Linked DNA regions of Elephas maximus indicus. The main gene of each other region encodes a partner of the protein of the gene in region 3 in a complex. Links are inferred from orthologs where the notes say so. Each region holds a gene or a part of one and is shown on either strand. Other genes may lie near its edges.

What was found. Proteins that work in one complex are often made in the same cells at the same time.
Region 1: PLRG1 (region 3) and GPKOW share a complex: the UniProt entries of both Homo sapiens proteins name them as parts of the minor spliceosome. The link is inferred for Elephas maximus indicus from reciprocal best matches to the Homo sapiens genes PLRG1 and GPKOW.
Region 2: PLRG1 (region 3) and CRIPT share a complex: the UniProt entries of both Homo sapiens proteins name them as parts of the minor spliceosome. The link is inferred for Elephas maximus indicus from reciprocal best matches to the Homo sapiens genes PLRG1 and CRIPT.

Annotation. Positions count from the first base shown.
Region 1 is NC_064846.1:122,471,266-122,475,014, forward strand, and holds the start of GPKOW (G-patch domain and KOW motifs-containing protein), read left to right. Parts: upstream 1-1,453; 5' UTR 1,454-1,531; coding exon 1,532-1,707; intron 1,708-2,427; coding exon 2,428-2,585; intron 2,586-2,679; coding exon 2,680-2,804; intron 2,805-3,749. UniProt on the Homo sapiens protein: RNA-binding protein involved in pre-mRNA splicing. As a component of the minor spliceosome, involved in the splicing of U12-type introns in pre-mRNAs.
Region 2 is NC_064844.1:15,567,688-15,571,436, forward strand, and holds the start of CRIPT (cysteine-rich PDZ-binding protein), read right to left. Parts: upstream 2,859-3,749; 5' UTR 2,768-2,858; coding exon 2,752-2,767; intron 1-2,751. Other genes in the region: PIGF (phosphatidylinositol-glycan biosynthesis class F protein), read left to right, coding at 3,396-3,485. UniProt on the Homo sapiens protein: As a component of the minor spliceosome, involved in the splicing of U12-type introns in pre-mRNAs. Involved in the cytoskeletal anchoring of DLG4 in excitatory synapses.
Region 3 is NC_064831.1:28,403,750-28,407,498, reverse strand, and holds the start of PLRG1 (pleiotropic regulator 1), read right to left. Parts: upstream 2,576-3,749; 5' UTR 2,470-2,575; coding exon 2,461-2,469; intron 1,147-2,460; coding exon 1,040-1,146; intron 26-1,039; coding exon 1-25. Other genes in the region: FGB (fibrinogen beta chain), read left to right, coding at 3,242-3,262. UniProt on the Homo sapiens protein: Involved in pre-mRNA splicing as component of the spliceosome. Component of the PRP19-CDC5L complex that forms an integral part of the spliceosome and is required for activating pre-mRNA splicing.

The DNA of each region.
Region 1 (3,749 bases), on a different chromosome or scaffold from region 3:
TCTAAGGTGCGCCTGACTCAAGCCTCGGTAGTTTCAATTGCATCGTATGCATGTGAAAGCAGGACAATGAATAAGGAAGACCGAAGAAGAATTGACACTTTTGAATTGTGGTGTTGGCGAAGAATATTGAATACACCATGGACTGCCAGAAGAACGTACAAATCTGTCTTGGAAGAAGTACAACCAGAATGCTCCTTAGAAGCAAGGATGGCGAGACTGTGTCTTACATACTTTGGACATGTCAGGAGGGATCAGTCTCTGGAGAAGGATATCATGCTTGGCAAGGTGCAGGGTCAGTGGAAAAGAGGAAGACCCTCAACAAGGTGGATTGACACAGTGGCTGCAACAATGGGCTCAAGCCTAACAACGATTGTAAGGATGGCTCAGGACCAGGCAGTGTTTCGTTCTGTTGTGCATAGGGTCGCTATGAGTTGGAACGACTCCACAGCACCTAACAATGACAACATTTTGTACATTAGGTCCTTAAACCATTTTGAATTTTTGTGTGTGCATATAGTGTGAGGCATGGATCCTGTTTCATTTTTCTGCATGTGGAAATCCAGTTTTCCCTAACACCATTTATTGAAGAGACTCTTCTTTTCCCATGAAATGGACTTAGCACCTCTGTCAAAAATCAGTTGACCATAGACTTGTGGGTGTATTTCTGGACTCTCAATTCTATTCCATTGGTCTCTGTGTCTATTGTTATATCAGTCCCAGGAAGTTTTGATTATTGCAGCTTTATAATATGTTTTAAAATCATGAAGCGTGAGTCCTCCTACTCTGTTCTTCTCTTTCAACATTCCTTTAACTATTCGGGGCCTCTTGCTATTCCACGTGAAGTAAAGGGGTGAATTTTTCTGTTTCTGTAAAGAAGACTGTTGGAATTTCGGTCGGGATTCAGTTGAATTTATAGATCACTTCGGATAGTATTGACATCTTAACAATATTAAGTCTTCCACCCCAAGAACATGGAACATCTTTCCATTTATTTAAGTCTTAATCTTTTAGTTTTTTTTTTTTTTAATAATTTTCATTGTGTAAGTCCTTCACGAACCTGGTTAGGTTTATTCCTAGGTTTTTTTTTTCTCTCTCTTACATGTTGTTGTAAATGGTGATTTTTTTCTTAGTGATTTATTTTATCTACACTTTCCACATCAGTAGGGCAAGGTGCTCAGTAAATATTGTCATATGCCTACATGAATGAATTAATAACTGCCAGTGGGTTAGAAATGAATCGCCCTTCCAGCACGTCCGTATAGGTCGCTCTGAGTCGAAGGTGTGTTGTTGTTGTTTTCGTCCAGCACACCCATCCCCTGAAGAACTACATTTCCCGGGATGCTTGTCTTGGCGCCTTCATATGAAGTGCCAAAAGAGCGACATTAGTTGTTATGGCCCCCATATCCGCCGTCGCCGGGGTCGCAGTGTTTTATGGGAAAGGTAGTTCTTGCGCTGTTCGGCCGGCACTCAACGAACAGAGCCAGACTGAACTTCCTGGCAAACAGCCCCGCGACCTGGCAAGCGGGGCAAGATGGCGGACGCTGAAGAGGGTGTTTCGCGGCCGGCAGCGGTCTCTACCGCCCCAATTTCTTTTGGCTTTAGTCGCACGTCCTCCCGGAGGCGGGTGGTGGACCTAGGAGACAGAGCGAGGGCCGCCCCGGAGGAGAAGGATTTCTTGAAGACTGTGGAGGGAAGGGAGCTGCAGAGGTGAAGCGCTGGTTCCCTCACCCCCTGGAAATCGGTGCGGTGGGCTCAGGAGGGATGGCGGTATCTGAGTTGCTTGTCATAGTGAAGGTGGCCTTGAAAGCCTGAAGCACAGCCTGAGGAAATTCGTGGAAGCGAGAAGGCGCGAGTTTGTAGGAGGGGTGGGGAAATTGGGCCTGATAGCGTGGGAATTGAGAAGAGGGGATGTATTAGTGACAGGGAGTGTCTTTAGGACTTGGGGACCCTAAGGTGTGTGCGTTCTAAGAGAGAAAAAGGAGAGGAGGATGACAGGATCCCCTAGTGTCTCAACTGAAGCGATGGGGCTTCTTCGGTATGGGGAACGGGATAGAGCCGCAGATTCAGGTTGAGGGAGGCCATTTATCAGCTTAATACGGAAAGGGGAGCCTGAGGGACCTGAGAGAGGGGCTTCTAGAAGAAGGCGAAGGTGAGCCACTGTGGAAGCCATGGAAGTGGGTCTTGGAATGAACAGAAAGTCCAGAACTGATTCTCTGAAGGAACCATTTAAGAGTTGGAGAAGGAGGAAGAATCCAGAGAAGATACCAGCAGAGACATAACAGGAGAATCATTCAAGAGAATGGAGGGCATGTTCCATGGGGCAGGGGATGAGTTTGACTGTTGTATTTTCTCTGGATAAAGGGATGTGGCTCAGAACCCACTGACCACGTTAACTCTCCCAATCTCACTCCTCTATGTTGGCATCAGTGTGAAGCCCTCAGAAGCCCCTAAGGAACTTGTCATCCCTTTGATCCAGAATGGACATCACAGGCAGCTACTGACCCAGACCCCTGGACCATCCACAGATGCTGAGACCTTAGTGGATGGGGTGCTGCTGTCCCAGGCTGTGAAGGAACTCATTGAGGGTAAGTGACCTCTACCCCTCACCCTGCCCCAATAATGGCAGAAGGGGAGGAAGGGTAGAGTGGTACCTCATTGCTCCCTCCTGTTCTTCCTTAGAATCCAAGAAGTCTCTGGAGGAGAGAGAGAATGAAGGTGTCGACCCCACGCTCGCTATCCCCATGATCCAGAAAGGATGCATCCCCAGTGGGGAAGGGGCAGACAGTGAACCCCAGGCTGAGACAGTGAGCTGGCCCCTTTCCTCTCTCCTGCGCCAGCCCCTCTTCGCCCTATCTACCAGGCTTGCCTCCCTGCAGGAAAAGTCTGTGTGAATTAGAAGCCTGCTGCCTATCCCCTGCTCCTTTTATCCTTTTTAGAATCATTTTTTTAATCCAAATACTGGGGTTTGGAAAAAGTACATGGATTCTTGGGCTAACTGAGTGAGATGTAGAGGAGAAGGAGCAGGAAAAACAAAGGCCCTGAGGTTAGACTCTGCCTGGGGTGTTTGAGGAACACCAAGGAGACCGTGCTGGCTGGAATGGAATGAAGGAGGGGAGGGTAATAGATGAGATCAGAAAGGTAGTGGAGGCTAGACCATGTAGTGCCTTGTGGGCCATGGTAAGGACTTCGGCTTTACTGTGTGTGAGGTGAGAGCCATAGGAGGGCTCCTAGCAGAGGAGGAAGGTGACCTGACTTACAGCTTGACAGGGACCTTCTGGCTTCTGTGAACAGAAGAGACTTGTATGTGAAGGTAGAAGCAAGTGGACCAGTGAGGTGATTATTGCAATAGTCCAGGCGAGAGATGATGGAGACTTAGATCAGAGTGAGGCCTGGAAGGATAGATGAGATTTACTGAGAGGGGGAAGAGCAGGGTGAGTACTCCTAGTGGGAGCAATGGCCTGGCCAAAGGCCGGGTGTCAGGAAATCAGCATGGTTTGTGTCCATCAGGGAGGCAACTTGTAGTAGACCTGGAGCTAATGGCAAATGCAAAGCATCGAGAGGGGTGATAGTGGGAGGTGATAACAGCAAAGGTAAGGGGTGTGTCCACAGAAGTAACCAAGTCTGTCTTTTGTCCCTATGGGCCCCACTTTTTACCTCTTCATTCACAAATGTTTTGCAGTGCCTTTTGGGGGCCTAGTTCTCTTACAGCCCCAGACTACCCTTTCTACTGAACTTTTCTCATCAGCCTT
Region 2 (3,749 bases), on a different chromosome or scaffold from region 3:
CTTCCAAAGAAAAAGCGAAAAAAAAAAAAAAGTAGAGAAAAGAAGATCAAAGATGGACCACTGGGGAACATCTACTTTAAGAGAGGAAGGAGAAATAAGAAAACTTAAAGAGCAGAATGCTAAAGAAGCGTAGAAAGAAGTAAAGCAGGACTGAAAAAAAGGTCATTGACCTTGGTGACCAGATCACTGGCAAACTTTTGAAAATCCTTTCAGAAATGTGGTAAGATGAAAGTAAGTTTGCAAGGTGCTCAAAGGCAACTGTGAAAATCTGGAGGCAATGAATGTAGCCAAGTCTCTGAAAATTTTACAGAGAATGGAAAGAGAGAGCTAAGGTGGATACTTGAGAGTGCAGCTTTATGTATGGGAGAGATCTGAGCTTATTTATAGAGTAGAATGAGTGGATGTATTGGGAGATAAGAAAAATACAATAGAGAGAGTATATTTTCATTTAAGGAACAAGATGGTCTAGGTGGTAGGAAGGTATTTGACCAAAGATATAATAAAGGGCTAGACTTACAGAACAGCAGAGAAGAAAAAAGGGAACAAGCTTTTATGATACACATCATGTCCCAGAATCAAATATGTATATTTTAGTACCACATCTGATCTTGGATTCCCAAAATTACTGTGTACCTTGAGAAATTAACTCTCACAGTTTCCCCAGTATTTTCAATTTTCCTGGGACAAAGCACTTAAAGTACTAAGGGGTATTATGCATAACAAACAAAACCAGACAGAACTCCTGTCCTCTCAAAAGTTAAACTACACAAAATTAACCCAAGTTACATGGAAGGCCAAACTTACACATTTAAGAAGTGCACAATGGAACAGAAAAGATGTCAGGGCAGGTGCATAACTGGAAAATAATTAAGTCACATTCACTCAAAAAACCAGCCAAACAAACTCTGCTGTGTGCAGGAAGGAAAACAGTTAAAGTATGTCAACGTGAAAAGTTTAATGTGCTTTTTGAGGCGATGAAAATGGTCTAAAATGCATCGTGGTGAGGGCTGCACAATCCTGTGAATATACTAAAAACCACTGAATTGTACGCTTTAAGCGGGGGAATTGTATGCTATGTGGATTGTATCTCAATGAAGTTATAATTAAAAAAAGCTTAATGAGAGAAAAGAGCCAGACATGTTTAACCAGAAGATATGAGACTTGGGGATATGACAGCTGTTTTTAAGCTAAATATAAACAGCTTGAAGATCAAAAAAAGGTCCCTACGCGGCACAAGGAAACCCTGGTGGCATAGTGGTTAAGAGCTACGGCTGCTAACCAAGAGGTGAGCAGTTCAAATCCGCCAGGCGCTCCTTGGAAACTCTATGGGCAGTTCTACTCTGTCCTATAGGGTCGCTATGAGTCGGAATCGACTCGACGGTAGTGGGTAGGGGGCACAAACGGTTTGCTCTCAGAGGCTAACCTAAACGTTGGCAGTTTGAACCCATCCAGTGGTACCTCAGAAGAATAGACTTGATGATCTGCTTCCATTAAGATACAGCCAAGACAACACTATGAAGTAACACCATGAGTCTCAATCGAATGGACAGCAACTAACAACAAGATTAAAAAGCCATGAGGTGTTTTCTACAAATTTCAAGGGTCTGCATTAGAATCAATGGGTGGCAACTACAGGCAGGTAGGCTTTTCTAAAAGCCAACGATGTCTACGTAAACGGCTCTGGAGGTGGTGAGATTCTCCCATCCCTGTCTGCCCCAATACTGTAGATATTCATGAAAAGAATATATAAACCATTGGATGGGAGGGTGACTTAGGGTTGACAGAAAAATGTTGTTAGGTCCCCTGGAGTCTGTTCCAACTCATAGCGACCCCACATATAACAGAATAAAACATTGCCCAGTCCTGTGCCATCCTCACAATAGTAGGTATGTTTGAGCCCACCGTTGTAGTCACTGTGTCAATCCATTTTGTTGAGGGTCTTCCTCTTTTTTCAATGACCTCTACTTTACCAAGCATGATGTCCTTCTCCAGGGATTGGCCCCTCCTGGTAAAATGTCCGAAGTAACTGAGATGAAGTCTCTCCACCCTCACCTGCCTAGTTAAACTGGAATTTCAGATAAACAATGAATAATAGTTTTAGTAAAGTATGTCCTAAAGATAGCAAGGGACAACAAACATGGCCAAGACCCAAGTGACACACTCATACTAAAAAAATAATCCGTGGTTTATCTGAAATTTACATTTAACTGAACATCCTGTGTTTTTATTTGCTACCTCTGGCAACAAGATACTATAGATGTGATTTTTAAGATCCATTCCAAACCCGAGTGTCTATGAGGTGAAGGAATCAGTCAAGAAGCTATGTGGGATGAGATCGGGGCTGGAGGAAGCAGTTCTACTGTCCTATAGGGTCGCTATGAACCGGAATCGACTCGATGGCAGCAGTGATTTTTGGTAGAATATGGTCACTTGGAGCCCTGGTGGCGCAGCGGTTAAGAGCTCGGCTGGTAACCAAAAGGTCGGCATTTTGAATGCACCAGGCGCTCCTTGGAAACCCCAGGGGACAGTTCTACTTTGTCCTACAGGGTCGCTATGAGTCGGAATCGACTCGACGGCATTGGGTTTGGCTTGGTAGCTGGAGAGGGGGGTGAATGGTCAAAGGGCAGGGTAGCAGAACAGAGACTAGAATGAAGAGACCTGTGAGAAGAAGAAAAAGAAAGGCAACGGTCCCGGGAAGTCCACCTAGGTTCGCTAGCCTCCTTCTCCCGCAGAACCGGCCCCTTAACTCACATTTTTCGCACACCATCCTTCAGAAGACGACGGTTCCCTTAACAACAATAGCAGCAGCAGCTCGCAAACATCAACACTACAACCCGAAAAGGATTTTCCTTCCGGGTACGTCGATCTACTTCCGGCCTCTCAACCCCGAGCTCCGGCCTATCCTACACCTGGAAAGCCGCGGGAGGAATAAACGCGAGCCGGTGGGCGGGGCTTCTCCATATGCCCGCCTCCTCTCCTTTGCGATTGGCTGTTGGGGCTCGGGTTCCGCCCCCACGACCTTGCGCCTGCGCGAGGGTCAGGGCAGCGAGTCGCACCTGATGGTGGGTGGCGGCAGCCTCCCCTTCCCATCCGCGGGCGGGAGAGTTAGGTAAGCCCAGCTGGAGCCCCCGGCTCGCTCGTCCCCCGGAGGTGCGAGCAGCCCCCAGCAACGGCCGCAGTGGGCGCGAGTCTCTGTGCCCCACCGTCCGCTCGAGCGCCACCATTCCGGCGTGACCCCAGGGGCTTCCCTGATGGACCGACTGTGGTTCGGATCCGACTTTTGCCTCTGTACCTGTTTTCTCTGGTGTCCACCGCCTGTGCTCTTTGCCACCTGTAATCCCGCCGGGTGAAGCTTGGGCAGAGCCCTGATCGACCAGTTTGGGGTGGGGCTGCAGATGGACGTCCCGCGATTCCCAGGAAGGCTTCTCTGGGAGCAGCTCAGAGGAGCCTTCTCACCGGCTGTAATACCCGTCGATCTGAGCCAGGTGAAACCGACGGCGCCAGGGCGGTGGCCTTCCCATGGGGCTCCTGTTAGGTGTCTTCCCGGGCACGCCAGGGCCTAACAGTGCTTGTTTCTCAGGAAGGGCCCCTGCGTTTGTTTGTGGGCAACCTCTACCTACTCGTTCGGGCATTCATTCAACAAACATGGAGTATGGGTACTGCTCGTTATCTTAGATCCAAATCCATTGATATCAGGTGGCATTCTGAGAATGGCCGAGATGAATGGTGCCCGAAGGGGTATCTGTTGT
Region 3 (3,749 bases):
CTTGATTCCCATCTTTCGTTTGTGACTATTTAAAAAGTATAAATGTAGAACATATTTTTAAATAATTTAAATATATTCACCACTGCAAATGTTTATAGCTAGCCTGAGAACAAGTACTTAAATAACTTAAGTTTGCCTAGCCATGTAGAAAAAGTTTCTATTAAGATTTTAAATAAATACCATTTTAACTTTAACTTCAAAAATTTCTAAGTGCATTTCCATATCATGTTTACTTTTGCTCACATTCTACCACATAGCATCCATGAAGTCTAAGCAGTATTTTAGCTTGTTACCTAATACAAACTCTTTCATGTTGAGATACCAAGAGTCCAATTGATCTAAAAATATATGAAAAAAAATATAGAGACTGATAAATTCTTTCCAGTGTAAAAATACAGTAAAAGCTTCTATAACAATTTTTATTGGATTTATCTAAAGTTAGTTAGAACTAATCAAAGTACTTAATTAGTTCAACATTTTAAAGAGAAGCACACTTGTATTATTTTTAAGTATAGTCTACTTTATAAATCGAACATAAATGCTTGTCTGAGGAATTAAGATTCTAAACGAAGGGTAGGACAAAGAAGGAACACTGCACATAATGCAATCCCAGACTGGAGCTGGAGATGTAGAACCAAAAATATGCCATCACTCAAAAATCTTCATCATACTAACGAGAAAAGGTGGGAGGAGAGGTACTGGCCAGGTACAATTTCAGCTCAGCAAGGCTCTGAGAGCAGCGGGAAGCTGAAAGCACATACAAAGTGATTTGATTATAAAATAAAACACCTGAAAGGGGCTCTCCTAATTACTGGGTATTTGCGAAATGCAATTAATTAATGAGATTTTTACTGTGAACAGTAAGGCCAAAAAAAAAAGTTATATCAGCTTAAATTATGCTACAGCAACACTCATTACTGCGGAGCTACCTTATGACTGTTAGTATTACTAATTAATCTTTAAAGGATTAAATAGTCCCCTTCTTCCCCAAATGTTAGAAGTTTAAAAATTGTAGCAATTGAAAAAAAACTATGCCTACCTCTCTTCATCCAAAGGCACAGGTTTTCCATTATCAGCTACAAACATGTCATGGGTCCTCTTCAATGACCTGAACACAAGTGTGTGCACAGAATGTTTCTGTACCTCCTGAAAAGAAAGAGTGCAAATGTAGCTACAAATTACTCACCACTGCTTTAACCACTCACCACTGCTCCCAGTAGCAAGCTGTAAGAGTCAAGTTTAGAAAAGAGGAGGAAGCTGCTCTTTGGCTAGAGTCCCAGGTACATTAACTGAGCAAAGCCTGAGATTAGTAATTTATTCAGTGCACACTATGTGTCTGGCAGGCACTGCGCTAAAACCTATCAAAAGAATGATGAAAAGAGTCAAGCTCCCTTTGCTCAAGGACAAAGAGAGAAATAAAAATAAGCAAAATAGTCCCACATTTTTATTACTGCTATGAAAGTAACAAGCAAGGGCTGAGACACAAAAAGGAGAAGGGAAATTACGCAGGATGGTTAGGAAAGGTCTCTCTGAGGTGACATTTAAGCAGAGGCTGAGTTACCCTGCAGAGGGGAGGTAAGGACAATTTGGACAGATGGAAGCCCTCACGTACAAAGATGCTCAGTAACTGCAATAATGCCAGGAGCTCCAGGGCAGTTGTGTGTGTGCGTTAGGCGAGAGGGTGGGTCTTGTTGCAAAATGAGGTTGCAAGAATAGGCAAAGTCCAGATCAGGTAAGGTCTTTTAAAACCATTACAATAATCCGTATTCTTGTCCTAGTGGTAACATAAGGCCAGCAAAGGGTTTTTACCAAGGAAGGCGTGACCAACTTACGTTTTAAAGAGATCAATTTAGGGGGCACAAACATGGAAGCAAGGAGACCAGCTGGGAGCTAATGCAGCAGTCCAGGCAAAAGATGATGTTGGCCTGAATGAAGGTGATTGCGACGCGTATGGAGAAAAGTGGAGAGAGTCGAACTATTTCTGAGACAAGGTAGACAAGACCTGCTAACAGAATAGGTATTCAATCTAGGAAAAGATGTGAAAACTCAAGAATGGCAGGTTTTCCTGGGGGAAGAGCTGCGATAAGAGACCAACTGGAACCAAGATACAAAACAACAGCAGTCTTTAAGGATCCAGAATTACTGGCACTCCCCTGCGAGCGGCGACTACCAGTGGTCGAACATCAACAGAAGCCTCACCTACGGGGACAGGGCGCAGCTCCTAAGGGCCAATTGAGGACTGAATAAATTATCTCAGGCTTCCCGCCTCAAACTCGTGCTCTCATCCCGCCTCTTCCCTCCCCGAAAACCTTAAGAAGAGACCACCCGGCCTCGGCAAAACAGCCTCCCCTCGCAGCCTCTCTCGCCCCAGATTCCCAACACACGCTATCACCCACGCCCGCCGCCAGAGAAAAGCAGTTCAGAGCCAAACGACTCCTCAGCGCCTAGGTGTCACTCTACCTCGACCATGATGCTGCCGTGAAATCCGCCTCTCCGGCAGGAACGGTACACTAATCACCAACGCAAAGGCCGCCGCCACAACTGTGCAGCCCCTTCCGCAATCGCGCGCCCTGGCGCCGGATATGACGTAATTGTGCGCAGGCGCGCTGGTTGTCCGTAGGTGGTCTTGGGCACGAGGGGCGGGCCTTTCTCCTCGGGGCCGCCTCTGGGGGCGGAGTCTCGGGACAGAGCGCCAGAGGCTCCTCGAGGAGCGTGGCTGCGTTTGTCTTGTCTCTAGAACTGTTGAAATGAGCATGTTTTCTGTCTTATCCGCCGCTTTAAATGTTTTGCATTGGCGCCGTAGTTGTTTGCACTGTATTGCTCGGCAACTAAATGCTTTTTATTCAGAGAGCTTATGAAATCAGCTTTAGTGAGGGTCTGGAAAGCGAAGATTTCCCAGTCGGCGCTAAGACTCCTCTAAGGTCTCCCCTCTTTGGGGTTCGCCTCCGCGCTTTATGTCCCTAATCCCACTACCTTGCTGAAGCCTTTAGTCGCCGCCCACTACCTGGCTGGAAGAGTTTAGTCGCCGTTGTAGCCTGAAACAGTCCCGCTTACACCGTCCACTAAAACGGTTAATGAGTCGATGTCGCTGAGTAATTGTCTCCGTTTGAAAAATTTTGAGGGAAGTGATATGTGAAGGAATTTTGCGTTAGGAAGATCTGACAAAACCCCGAATTTATTTTCTGTTAGATAAATAGGTTTTTTAAAGAAGTCTCTCAAAACTGCGTAACTCCTGTTTCTGATGAATGTGACTTCAGCAAAGGTAGGTACAGCTTTTCAAAGCTGATGGAAGAAGATTGAAGACTTAAACCATTTTTATTTTTATAAACACATTGGTGCCAAAGTATTGATATTTTTGGCTTGCTTTTTACGCAGATAGAATCTGCAGTTATCAATCCTGTTCAATTATTTTCATATGTGAAAAGGAAAATCGATGGAGCTGGTTATTTGCAAACTTAACTCGACATTTGACTGGCTCTGTTTCTTAACCATAATGAGTTCCACTGATGGTGTCTACGGAGCATACTACATATTCTTTGAGAGGAAAAAAAAAAAACCCAAAATGGTACCAAAAGTATAGCAATTTTTAAATTTTATTTAAAAATGCTTTAATTTTTCATTCATTGAAACATCAAGGTCATGATTTTACTTGAAAAAACAATCATCTACAAATTTGAGTGTGAGTTTGGCCTAAGAACTAATTTTCTGTAAAAATAGTCACTGATGGTGGGCCTTCCAAGAACTGCCAT